3 linked regions of the Macaca fascicularis genome follow. The protein of the gene in region 2 purifies or fractionates together with the protein of the main gene of each other region. This does not show direct contact. Links are inferred from orthologs where the notes say so. Each region holds a gene or a part of one and is shown on either strand. Other genes may lie near its edges.

What was found.
Region 1: the proteins of ITGB1 (region 2) and CD63 purify together in Homo sapiens (affinity purification with western blotting; 3 studies listed by BioGRID and IntAct, with this or other methods). This does not show direct contact. The link is inferred for Macaca fascicularis from reciprocal best matches to the Homo sapiens genes ITGB1 and CD63.
Region 3: the proteins of ITGB1 (region 2) and ITGA9 purify together in Homo sapiens (affinity purification with mass spectrometry; 3 studies listed by BioGRID and IntAct, counting the BioPlex papers as one, with this or other methods). This does not show direct contact. The link is inferred for Macaca fascicularis from reciprocal best matches to the Homo sapiens genes ITGB1 and ITGA9.

The regions. Positions count from the first base shown.
Region 1 is NC_088385.1:62,512,548-62,516,388, reverse strand, and holds the start of CD63 (CD63 antigen), read left to right. Parts: upstream 1-1,481; 5' UTR 1,482-1,534; intron 1,535-2,134; 5' UTR 2,135-2,145; coding exon 2,146-2,211; intron 2,212-3,149; coding exon 3,150-3,338; intron 3,339-3,529; coding exon 3,530-3,604; intron 3,605-3,698; coding exon 3,699-3,794; intron 3,795-3,841. UniProt on the Homo sapiens protein: Functions as a cell surface receptor for TIMP1 and plays a role in the activation of cellular signaling cascades. Plays a role in the activation of ITGB1 and integrin signaling, leading to the activation of AKT, FAK/PTK2 and MAP kinases.
Region 2 is NC_088383.1:33,663,722-33,667,462, reverse strand, and holds part of ITGB1 (integrin beta-1), read left to right. Parts: intron 1-3,225; coding exon 3,226-3,464; intron 3,465-3,681; coding exon 3,682-3,741.
Region 3 is NC_088376.1:99,480,631-99,484,471, reverse strand, and holds the start of ITGA9 (integrin alpha-9), read right to left. Parts: upstream 2,441-3,841; 5' UTR 2,203-2,440; coding exon 2,018-2,202; intron 1,538-2,017; exon of another isoform or gene 1,351-1,537; intron 1-1,350. UniProt on the Homo sapiens protein: Integrin alpha-9/beta-1 (ITGA9:ITGB1) is a receptor for VCAM1, cytotactin and osteopontin. It recognizes the sequence A-E-I-D-G-I-E-L in cytotactin. ITGA9:ITGB1 may play a crucial role in SVEP1/polydom-mediated myoblast cell adhesion.

The sequences.
Region 1 (3,841 bases), on a different chromosome or scaffold from region 2:
TTGAGCACATCCACCTGCTCCGTGAAATCCATTCTCCTCTCTCTTTCCCTCCCTCTGAACTTAACCAGCTGCCACCGCAGGCTTCTGCCTTTCTTCAGTGTGGCCAGAATTTGGTTCTGCCTGCTGGCAGAGGGCAGGGCCGCTGTCTTCCTCTCCTTGCAGCCCCCGAGCCTAGCATATACCTGGCATCTAGTGGCAGCACAATAAGGAACCTGACGAATACTCCTTTCTTCAGCTCTCCACTCCTCCTCCACTCCTGCCCGCCATGGTCAGGAAGAGCAAGGTCCGGAATGGGCTTGGTGTGTCCCACAGGAAGGCCGTGATCCTGGAAGATGCTTCTCAGCCCAGCCCGGATCTCCTTCCTTTTGCTCTAGAGACTTCTTTCCTTCTTTGTGTACACACATACACCAAGACTCAGGAAGTGGTTCTTGAGGCAGGACCCTAAGAGCCCAAGGAGTGGGTCCGAGGCTGGAGGTGTGGGGGTGTGACGACCGGTCCCACTTTCTGGCCTGTTCAGATCAGCTCCTTCTGGAGACTACCCCTGGCACACAAGGGAGGGAGGCAGCTTGACCCCCTAGCCCGCTTCCAGCCCTCACCTGGCTTTGTCTTCTGGGATAAGACGAGGAAATCCAGAGGATGTAAGCCTCTACCTTCGTGTCTTCCCCCAAACCCTCGCTATCACAGACGATGCAGGAGCTGTCCGGGAGTTGGGAGGGCAGACCTTGTCAATCCTCCCCCAGAGGGCGGGACCCGACGCGGACGTGTATTGATTGACTGGGTAGCGTGGCTTCGGGGAAGGGCTTCCTCCCCTTTTCTCAGACTAGGAACCCTGGAAAATGGAGAAGCTATGCTAATATAGGGGGGTCAGAAATCCCCACTCTAGAATGCGCTAGAATGTTGGGAGACACCCAGGATGTGAGGCCAGGGACTTTCTGGAACTGTTGGTTCTGGCCCCACCCGACCCCAGGCAGTCCCCAGCTGTCTGCACAGTCGGATGGGGAGGGGGCTTGCACAGAGTTGGAGCCAGAGGAGAGAGCTGGGCTACTGGAGAAGGATGGGGAAACCTCTCTCAGACCACCTTGTCACCCGGCCTCAGCTCTCCGCCCCGGCGCTCAGAGGATAACTCTCACCTAGCTCGTCCGCTTCTCTAAACCAGAGTGACCCAGGCTGCGCTCCGCCCTGCTCTCCTACCCCGAGTTGGCACGGAGGCGGGGCGCCAGAGGGGGGCCCCAGGCGCCCCGAGGTCTTGCCTTTTCGGCTCTCCGTTTGCGGGGGGTGGGCGCCTTCTTCCGGGTAGGGGCCACGTGGCCCTGGCCGGGCGGGGGGCTCGGCCCACCCCGCGCCGGGCCCAGTGACTCAGGCCGCAGCTGTTCCCGCGTCACATGAGGGAGGCCGGCGGCCACTGGGCGGGGGAGGGGACCGTGGCTGGAGCCCGGGGCGGGGCCGCGCGGCAGGCGGGGCGGGAGCCGGGGGGCGCAGCTAGAGAGCCCCGGAGCCGCGGCGGGAGAGGAGCGCGCAGCCTTGGGGAGCCCAGGTGAGGCCGCGGGGCCCCGGCAGACTTCGGCGCGGGCTGGGAGAGACCACCGGCGGTCCCTTCCTCCAGGGCTCGCCCCAGGCCCGCGGAGACTCGCCCGGCGCTCTCCAGCCGCCCTCGAGCAACTTTGATTCGAACTTCCCTGGGCCCGGGCAGGGTGTGGCGGGGGTGCCGGCCGCACCTTTTTTTTTTTTTGGTGGGCGGGAGGTCAGAGCCCAGGGGAAAGCGACTGGGGCAGGGGTCGGGGTTGGGCTGAAGACCGTTTCTCCGGGCTGGGTGTTGGGTGGGGAGAGGGTGTTTGACGCCTGGAGACTGAAGGGCCGAGGGTCGGCGTCAGGCTCGAGCCCCTACCGGCGCCCTCGGATCTATCCTGGGCCCCAGAGGCGGCGGGGCGGGGTCCGGGCTTCGCGGCGGTCGCCCCCACCCCTCTCCTGCGGGTAGAGAGGGGGCTGGGAGACGTGGTTCCGACCGCGGGTTTCCGGGTGGGAGGGGCCGGGAATCGGGGCCGTGTAGGGAAGCCCTCGAGGGCCGGCCAGGAGCCCGGAAACCGAGGTCCCCCTTCGGCCAGTTTTAATCCCCCCGCCCTCCTCTCTGCCCCAGGCCCGGCAGCCATGGCGGTGGAAGGAGGAATGAAATGTGTGAAGTTCTTGCTCTACGTCCTCCTGCTGGCCTTTTGCGTGAGTGGCGAGGGGTCCTGGGGGGCGCGCCGGCAGGGTGCGGGGAGACCTGGCTCCACAGTGGTGAGGGCTGAGGGAATAAGAATTAAGGCAGCTGGAGACCAGATGTGGAAAGAAAGCCAGGGAAAGACAGCGCGGCCACTCCCTCCTCCAGTTTTCCTGGACACCTGAGGCTTGTTTCCACCGAGAATGGCCATCCTGGGTGTGCAGCAACCCCTACCCCCATCCCTCCTTCCTGGCCCTTCCTGTCTGGTGACCCAACCACTTGTGATATGGGGCAGTGGGGCAACCAGCCAACCGCCTGATGCTATCGCCACGAGGCTTCCCTTCGCTCTCCCTTCTCCCCTCTCTTCCTCCCCAACCCCCTCATCCCTCTCCAGTCCCTCTCCCCCTTTCTGTCCTCCCAGCGCTTGGGAGCGAGGAAGGGCTCTGCCCACCTCAATTTGCTCCTGTCCTGGGCTCCTGGCTTGAGAGGCTACTGTTTGTCTAGGGAGGGGCACATCACTCTTGCCGCCTTTTCCTCTTCCCTTCTCCTGGCTTAACTGGCCAGAGGAACCTTAGTCACAGCTGATGCGCGTGGGGTGTGCACTGGAGGATAGTGAGGGAGCAGTTCTGGGAGAGAATTGAGCTGGGAGTACTGGAGGCCCGTAGAAAGCATTATTCTAGGTCAGAAATACGTGCCTTGGGGTCAAGGCTTTCTGGGAGGTCTTTGAATTTGGTCACGTCCCTGATTGAAGAGCTGGGAGGGGATCAAGGGAGATGGGGGCAGGAAAGGATGGGTCATCCCCCTTACCTACAGCCAAAGAAGTTCCCTGGAGGTGTGAGAATCTCTCCTCCGGATGGGGTCATGTCTGTGTCCTAGGTGTACCCCTTGCCCTCCACCATGGAGGACCACTGTGTTGTGGATCAGGCCTAATTCTCACCTGCTTTCCTCTTAGGCCTGTGCAGTGGGACTGATTGCTGTGGGTGTCGGGGCACAGCTTGTCCTGAGTCAGACCATAATCCAGGGGGCTACCCCTGGCTCTCTGTTGCCTGTGGTCATCATCGCAGTGGGTGTCTTCCTCTTCCTCGTGGCCTTTGTGGGCTGCTGCGGGGCCTGCAAGGAGAACTATTGTCTTATGATCACGGTGAGTGGGAGGCGGGACTAACATGGGTGGTCTGGGACTGCCAGAGCAACTTGGTTGGTGCTCAGGAAGGTGGGTGAGGTGAGGTGGGTGAGTGAGGAAGACCTTTGTGAGTGTCCAGGGACCGGCTATGCCAGAACGGGCCCCTGTAATGCATAGACTCCAAACCTGACTCCTGTCCTTTGCTCCTGCAGTTTGCCATCTTTCTGTCTCTCATCATGTTGGTGGAGGTGGCCGCAGCCATTGCTGGCTATGTGTTTAGAGATAAGGTAAGCAGGGAATAATGGGAAGGGCCTGCCTCAGCCTGGTCTGGGACCCAGGTGCTTGAATTCTGACGGCAACAGTGCTCCTCCGTACCCTCAGGTGATGTCAGAGTTTAATAACAACTTCCGGCAGCAGATGGAGAATTACCCGAAAAACAACCACACTGCTTCGATCCTGGACAGGATGCAGGCAGATGTGAGTGGGGTTGCTGGGAGCAGGGGTGATGGGAATAGAGAATTCTC
Region 2 (3,741 bases):
CTTCTACTAACTTTTGAATATGTTTGCTCTTGTTTCTCTAGTTTTAATTGTGATGTTAGGGTGTCAATTTTAGATCTTTCCTGCTTTCTCTTTTGGGCATTTAGTGCTATAAATTTCCCTCTACACACTGCTTTAAATGTGTCCCAGAGATTCTGGTATGTTGTGTCTTTGTTCTCGTTGGTTTCAAAGAACATCTTAATTTCTGCCTTCGTTTCATTATGTACCCAGTAGCCATTCAGGAGCAGGTTGTTCAGTTTCCATGTAGTTGAGCGGTTTTGAGTATCTTAATCCTGAGTTCTAGTTTGATTGCACTGTGGTCTGAGAGACAGTTTGTTATGGTTTCTGTTCTTTTACATTTGCTGAGGAGTGCTGCACTTCCAAATATGTGGTCAATTTTGGAATAAGTGTGATGTGGTGCTGAGAAGAATGTATATTCTGTTGACCTGGGGTGGAGAGTTCTGTAGATGTCTATTAGGTCTGCTTGGTGCAGAGCTGAGTTCATTGCCTGGATATCCTTTTTAACTTTCTGTCTCGTTGATCTGTCTAATGTTGTCAGTGGAGTATTAAAGTCTCCCATTATTATTGTGTGGTGAGTCTAAGTCTTTTTGTAGGTTTCTAAGGACCTACTTTATGAATCTGGGTGCTCCTGTATTGGGTGCACATATATTTAGGATAGTTAGCTCTTCCTGCTGAGTTGATCCCTTTTCCATTATGTAATGGCCTTCTTTGTCTCTTTTGATCTTTGTTGGTTTAAAGTCTGTTTTATCAGAGACTAGGATTGCAACCCCTGCTTTTTTTTGTTTTCCATTTGCTTGGTAGGTCTTCCTCCATCCCTTTGTTTTGAGCCTGTGTGTGCCTCTGCACGTGAGATGGGTCTCCTTTATACAGCACACTGATGGGTCTTGACTCTTTATCCAATTTGCTGATCTGTGTCTTTTAATTTGGGCGTTTTGCCCATTTACATTTAAGTTTAATATTGTTATGTGTGAGTTTGATCCTGTCATTATGATGTTAGCTGGTTATTTTGCTGGTTAGTTGATGCAGTTTCTTCCTAGCATCAATGGTGTTTCCAGTTTGGCATGTTTTTGCAGTGGCTGGTACTGGTTGTTCCTTTCCATGTTTAGTGCTTCCTTCAGTAGCTCTTGTAAGGCAGGCCCGGTAGTGACAAAATCTCTCAGCATTTGCTCGTCTGTAAAGAATTTTATTTCTCCTTCACTTATGAAGCTTTGTTTGGCTGGATATGAAATTCTGGGTTGAAAGTTCTTTTCTTTAAGTATGTTGAATATTAGCCCCCACTCTCTTCTGGCTTGTAGAGTTTCTTCCGAGAGATCCGCTGTTAGTCTGATGGGCTTCCCTTTGTGGGTAACCCAACCTTTCTCTCTGGCTGCCCTTAACATTTTTTCCTTCATTTCTACTTTGATGAATGTGAAAATTGTGTGTCTTCAAGTTGCTCTTCTCGAGTATCTTTGTGGCATTCTCTGTATTTCCTGAATTTGAATGTTGGCCTGCTTTGCTGGGTTGGAGAAGTTCTCCTGGATAATGTCCTGAAGAGTGTTTTCCAACTTGGTTCCATTCTCCCCAACACTCTCAGGTACACCAATGAGACATAGATTTGTCTTTTTACATAGTCCCATATTTTTTGGAGGCTTTGTTCCTTTCTTTTTACTCTTTTTTCCTCTAAATTTCTCGCTTCATTTCATTCATTTGATCTTGAATCAATGATACCCTTTCTTCCACTTGGTCAAATCGGCTACTGATGGTTGTGCATGTGTCACATAATTCTTGTGCCATGGTTTTCAGCTCCATCGGGTCATTTAAGGTCTTCTCTATGCTGTTTATTCTGGTTAGCCATTCGTCTAATCTTTTTTCAAAGTTTTTAGCGTCTTTGCGATGAGTTCAAACATCCTCCTTTAGCCCGGAGAAGTTTGTTATTACCGATCATTTGTAGTCTTCTCTCAACTTGTCAAAATCATTCTCCGTCCAGGTTTGTTGCGTTGCTGTTGAGGAGCTGTGTCCCTTTGGAGGAGAAGAGGTGTTTGATTTTAGAATTTTCAGCGTTTCTGCTCTGGTTTCTCCCCATCTTTGTGGTTTTATCTACTGTGGGTGTCTTTGATGATGGTGACGTACAAATGGGGTTGTGGTGTGGTTGTCCTTTTTGTTTGTTAGTTTTCCTTCTAACAGTCGGGACCCTCAGCTGCAGATGATGGTGACATACAAATGAGGTTTTGGTGTGGATGTCCTCTCTGTTTGTTAGTTTTCCTTCTTTGTTAGTTTTCCTTCTAACAGTCAGGACCCTCAGCTGCAGGTCTGTTAGAGTTTGCGGGAAGTCCACTCCAGATCCTGTTTGCCTGGGTGTCACCTGTGGAGGCTGCAGAACAGCAAATATTGCAGAACGGAAAATGTTGCTGCCTGATCCTTCCTCTGGAAGCTTCATCTCAGAGGGGCACCTGGCTGTATGAGGTGTCAGTCGGTCCCTACTGGGAGATGTCTCCCAGTTAGGCTACTTGGGGATCAGGGACCCACTTGAGCTGGCAGTCTGTCCGTTCTCAGATCTCAAGCTCCATGCTGGGAGAACCACTATTCTCTTCAAAGCTGTCAGACAGGGACGTTTAAGTTTGCAGAAGTTTCTGCTCCCTTTTGTTCAGCTCTGCCCTGCCTCCAGAGGTGGAGTATACAGAGGCAGGCAGGCTTCTTTGAGCCACGTTCAAGCTTCCCGGCCACTTTCTTTGCCTAGTCAAGCCTCAGCAATGGTGGACGCCCCTCCCCCAGCCTCACTGCCGCCTTGCAGTTTGATCTCACTGCTGTGCTAGCAGTGAGTGAGGCTCCGTGGGCGTGGGACCCTCCAAGCCAGGCGCGGGATATAATCTCCTGGTGTGCCATTTGCTAAGATTATTGGAAAAGCACAGTATTAGGGTGGGAGTGTCCTGATTTTCCAGGTACTGTCACAGCTTCCCTTGGCTAGGAAAGGGAATTCCCCAACCCCTTGCACTTCCCTGGTGAGGCGATGCCCTACCCTCGTTCGACTCACAGTCTGTGGGCTGCACCCACTGTCCGACAAGCCCCAATGAGATGAACCCAGTACCTCAGTTGGAAATGCAGAAATCACCTATCTTCTGCATTGCTCATGCTGGGAGCTGTAGACTGGAGCTCTTCCTATTCGGCCATCTTGGAACCTCTTAAATTATTTTTGTTTTGTGTGATTGCAATTTTGGAATGTTTCTTCAGGTGCAACGAAGGGCGTGTTGGTAGACATTGTGAATGCAGCACAGATGAAGTTAACAGTGAAGACATGGACGCTTACTGCAGAAAAGAAAACAGTTCAGAAATCTGCAGTAACAATGGAGAGTGCGTTTGTGGACAGTGTGTTTGTAGGAAGAGGGATAATACAAATGAAATTTATTCTGGCAAATTCTGCGAGTGTGATAATTTCAACTGTGATAGATCCAATGGCTTAATTTGTGGAGGTAAGTAAAGGACCTGAAGTGGTTGTAAGACGTGATCTCATCTAATGCCACAAAAAATCTAGAGTTTACTTGGTGCATAAGTAGAAGAGGGGTAGCTCGAGGGTCAGTTCTGCCCCAGGTATACTTTCTCACACGTTGTTGCTTATTTTACTTTTCAGTCAATACTGTGATTGTATATTTTTACCATTAGTTTGAGAAATGATATGCTTAATTGCAGGAAATGGTGTTTGCAAGTGTCGTGTGTGTGAGTGCAACCCCAACTACACTGGCAGTGCAT
Region 3 (3,841 bases), on a different chromosome or scaffold from region 2:
TTGTATCACAACAAGAGAGGGCACTTTTGAGCCCAGCAGCCCAGCTACATGGGTTCCCATGGACCCCTGAAATACCAGTCCCACATCTCAACTGGCAACAAGGATATGCACAGCATTATTGCCCAGCTCCACATCCCCTCCCTACCATTTACCCTGGGTAACAAGTTGAAGGCCACAATGTCTTTTCCTACACTGGCCAAATCTGCTCACAACAGCTTTTCTTTATCCCCTTTTTAAATCAAAGTAGGCTGAACACCTTTTCTCTGTCAGATCTGCTCTCGTCTCTACCCATTCCTTTCCCAGGCAGGGTGGCTTTGACCTGTGGCCCATGCAAATCCACAGTGACAGTGGCCTGGCCTCTCTCCCTCTAGCTGTCAAAGAGCTCTAAGGCACTTGAGCCAACCTCAGCCTGCAGATCACATACAATGCTCTGGCTGGCTTGGCTGCCTGCTCAGCTGCCGGCCCTTTCTCAGCAGCCCCCTGTCCGCAGTAGCCCTCCCATTTTTGACAGCGCTTCCCATGTGCTTGGTGCCTAGTGTGGGGATCTGGGATGTGTTCTTAAACCTCAGACCCTGAGTCTGCAGGACACAGAAAAATGTTCAGCCTGCTCTGCTTTAAAAGGGGAATTTGACAAGTGTAAGAACAGACACGCGGTCTTAAACCCAGCAACTGGAGTGAGAGAGGGGGATGTGGAGCTGGGAGAGAGCTAAGTGAGGGCTTTGAAATCTGGTTCTCTTGGAGGCTGATCTCCTGAACAACATTATTCTTAGTGGGATGGTCTCGGAGTCCCCTTTTCCGGGAATGCTTGAGTATTGCGATCCACAAATCACCCTTTTCCATCAGCCTCTGTCCAATACAGAGCAGTGACTCTCCTGCATAACTTCATGCACCGGCAACAGTGACCTCGACCTCCCTGCCTGCCACCCCTAAGGACGCTTAGGCTGGTGACTACACAATAAAATCAACCCCAGCCTGGCTGTCACCTGGGCCCCCACTGAGGCATGACCTTGAACGGGGGAACTTCCTGCAGCCTAACTCTCTCTCCTATCAAGAAGTGACCACTATGTGGCTGTTCATTCCCTCGGGTCCAGAGGAAGTGGCCAGTGAGGGCACCAACCTCCCCTTAGTGCTTCTCTGCTGGGGTTGGGCACAAGCTCTGTACCACTCAGCTTATGGTGCTTCATGGGGGAGGGCCGCCCCCTTCTTCAGGCCCACCTCTTCGTACTCAGGAGACAGCTGGACCCCTTGGCCTCTATAGAAACACGTCTCTCTCTTAAGGCTTCTGGTGAAGGTCTCCAGGTCGAATGGCCCGTATGAGATGAGACTCAGGCTGCCGCAAGAAACACCTACCTGACCCACTGGCGGTGTCACTCGTAGGTGCTCCCTCACCCTCCTCTTCCCTATATCCCAGGAGCTTCTCCGCTTCACTTCCACCCAGGGTCTTGTAGGGGCGGGGTGGGAGGGGGTGGCTCTGGGCTCCAGTGCGCCCTAAGGGATCCCAGACACCCTGTCCCTGGGGAGCCCCACCCCGCGCAGCGGCGCTGTAGAGGCTATACTACTTCCTCAGGGGTTCCCCAAAATCGGGGAGAGGTGCAGCTCCAGTGCCCCGACTCCTCCAGGCCCTGCGAGGTTCAGGAAGCTCACCGGGCCAGCGGCGGCCACTCGGAGGCAGAGGAGCCAAGTTACTTTGCGATCCAGAGAGCGAAGCCGAGTCTGGCTGGGCGGCGGAGAGACAACTCTAGCGGCTCTCCCCGCACGCTCCGGGCTGGGACCCCGGGGAGGGGCCCGGACGCCCCCGTCCGCCTCCAAGCGCCGACCCCGACCTCAGAGGGCCCCGGACGGCGTCCTCCCTTCTCCCGCCGTCCCCCCGGCGGCCGAGCCGCGCGCAACAGAGACATTTAAATCGCCCCCTCGGGACGGCGGCATGGAGGAGGCCGGAAAGGCGGCGGCGGCGCTGGCCTGGGGACCAGGGCGGTGGCCGCGCGGGCCAGGGTCGCGGAGCTGGGCGGGCACTCACCAGCGCGTGTTGTCGTGGAAATGCTCCAGAACCGCGTAGCCGAAGAACGAGTCGGCGGGGCCCTGGAAGTGCACCGGACGCTGCGGGTCGAGGTTGTAGGCGCCCGCGGGGATCCCCGCGACCACCAGCGCCAGCAGCAGCGCGCGGAGCCCCCCGGCGCCCCTCGGCGCAGCCGGGCCGCCCATCCCTAGCCGGCCGCCGCCGCCTTCCCCTCTGCCCGGCGAGCAGGGCGCCGAGCGCGCGGGCCGCGGGGTCAGCCGACGGCCGGGAAGCTCCCCGGGGCGGGAGCTCTGCGCCTGGACACGGGCGGGATGCGGGCGTCGGGCCCGGCACCGGGGCGCGGACGGCGAGCTGAGCGGGCGCTGAAGGCGAGCACAGGGACGGCCCCGAGCGGTGGGCGTCCTCAGTCCGCCCGAGAAGTCTGCGCGAGCGGGTCCCGGGCCGGGCGGCGCTGGACTGCGGAGGGGCGCGCCCGCAGGGTGGGCGGCCCGGGCGGCAGCGGCTGGACGGCGCGGCAGCGCCCCCTGCGGGCTGCGAGCCCTGCGCGCACTTCCCGGGCGGGAGTCAGCCTCGGGGACCCGCCGAGGCGCCGGGAGCTGCCCCCTCCCCGCCGCGCACGGGGCGCTCGGGTTCCCGGAGATAAAGCTGCTGCCCTCCGCCACTACAGGCTCTGCCGGCCCTAGTGGGCCTGTCTCCCTGTTTTTGTCTCTCTTTCCCTCCCTGTCTCACAACCAGTAAGATCCAAAGCAACCCCGGTGAAAGACAAGTTCAGACTCCAGATTCTAGCCCTGCGCATCCTCTGCTCCTTCACCCAGTTGTGAGATAAGCTGTAGGAGCAGTGCTCAGTAAACGCCCGCTGTTGTTGTTCATAACAATAGTAGCCACGTGGAAGCGAGCAGAGCACCCCTCCATATTCTAGTCACTTGGTCTCATACACCAGTGATTCCCTAAGTGTGGTGTCTGGACCAGCAGCATCAACGTCATCTAGGAACTTGTCAGAAAAAGCAAATCCTCAGGTCCCACTCAGCTCTGCTAAATCAGAAGCTCTGTGGGTTGGAATCCAGCAGGGTCTGCGTGCACTCAAGGGTGTGTGTGTGTAATTGTAAATATGCATAAGAGAAAGTCTACCATCTTAACCATTTTTAACTGTGCCGTTTGGGGGATTAAGTATATGCATGTTATGCAACCATCACCACCATCCAACTTCAGAACTCTTCATCTTGGAAAACAAACTTTATACCCTAAACAATAACTCCTCTTTCCCCCAACCCTACCCCCATCCCCACCACCAGCCTCTGGCAACCACCTTTCTACCTTCTGTCTCTATGAACCTGACTACTCAAATTCAAGATTCCTACTGAATTGACTGCTATCATGTTGAAGTCTGACCACACTCTTGTGGTTTCCCTGCCTGTGTTCTCTTCTTTCCACTTTTTAATTCTACAACAGAGTTTGGACAATGGTTAAAAACTTCCTGTTGCCCCCCACCAGCTACTCCTGCCTATAGGATGGAGCCAGGTCTCCTTAGCATAACTTCAAATGGAGGCTCCATCTGTTTCCAGCCCCATTTTATGCCCCTTTCCTGACTCACTTCCCACAGACCCTACAATGTATCCACACACAACTTCTAGCTGTCCCCTGAATGTGTCCAGCAGGGGTTTTCACACACGTTGTGCCTTCTCCAACACTTCTTTCTTCCTGAAATGTGTCTACCTAGGATTTTCAACTGGCAAAATCCTATCCATCCTAGACTTCCAGTCCAGTTCTCGCCTCACCCTTTCTGTGCCATTTCCTCTGCTCCTTTCTTCTCTGAGCTGCCAAAGA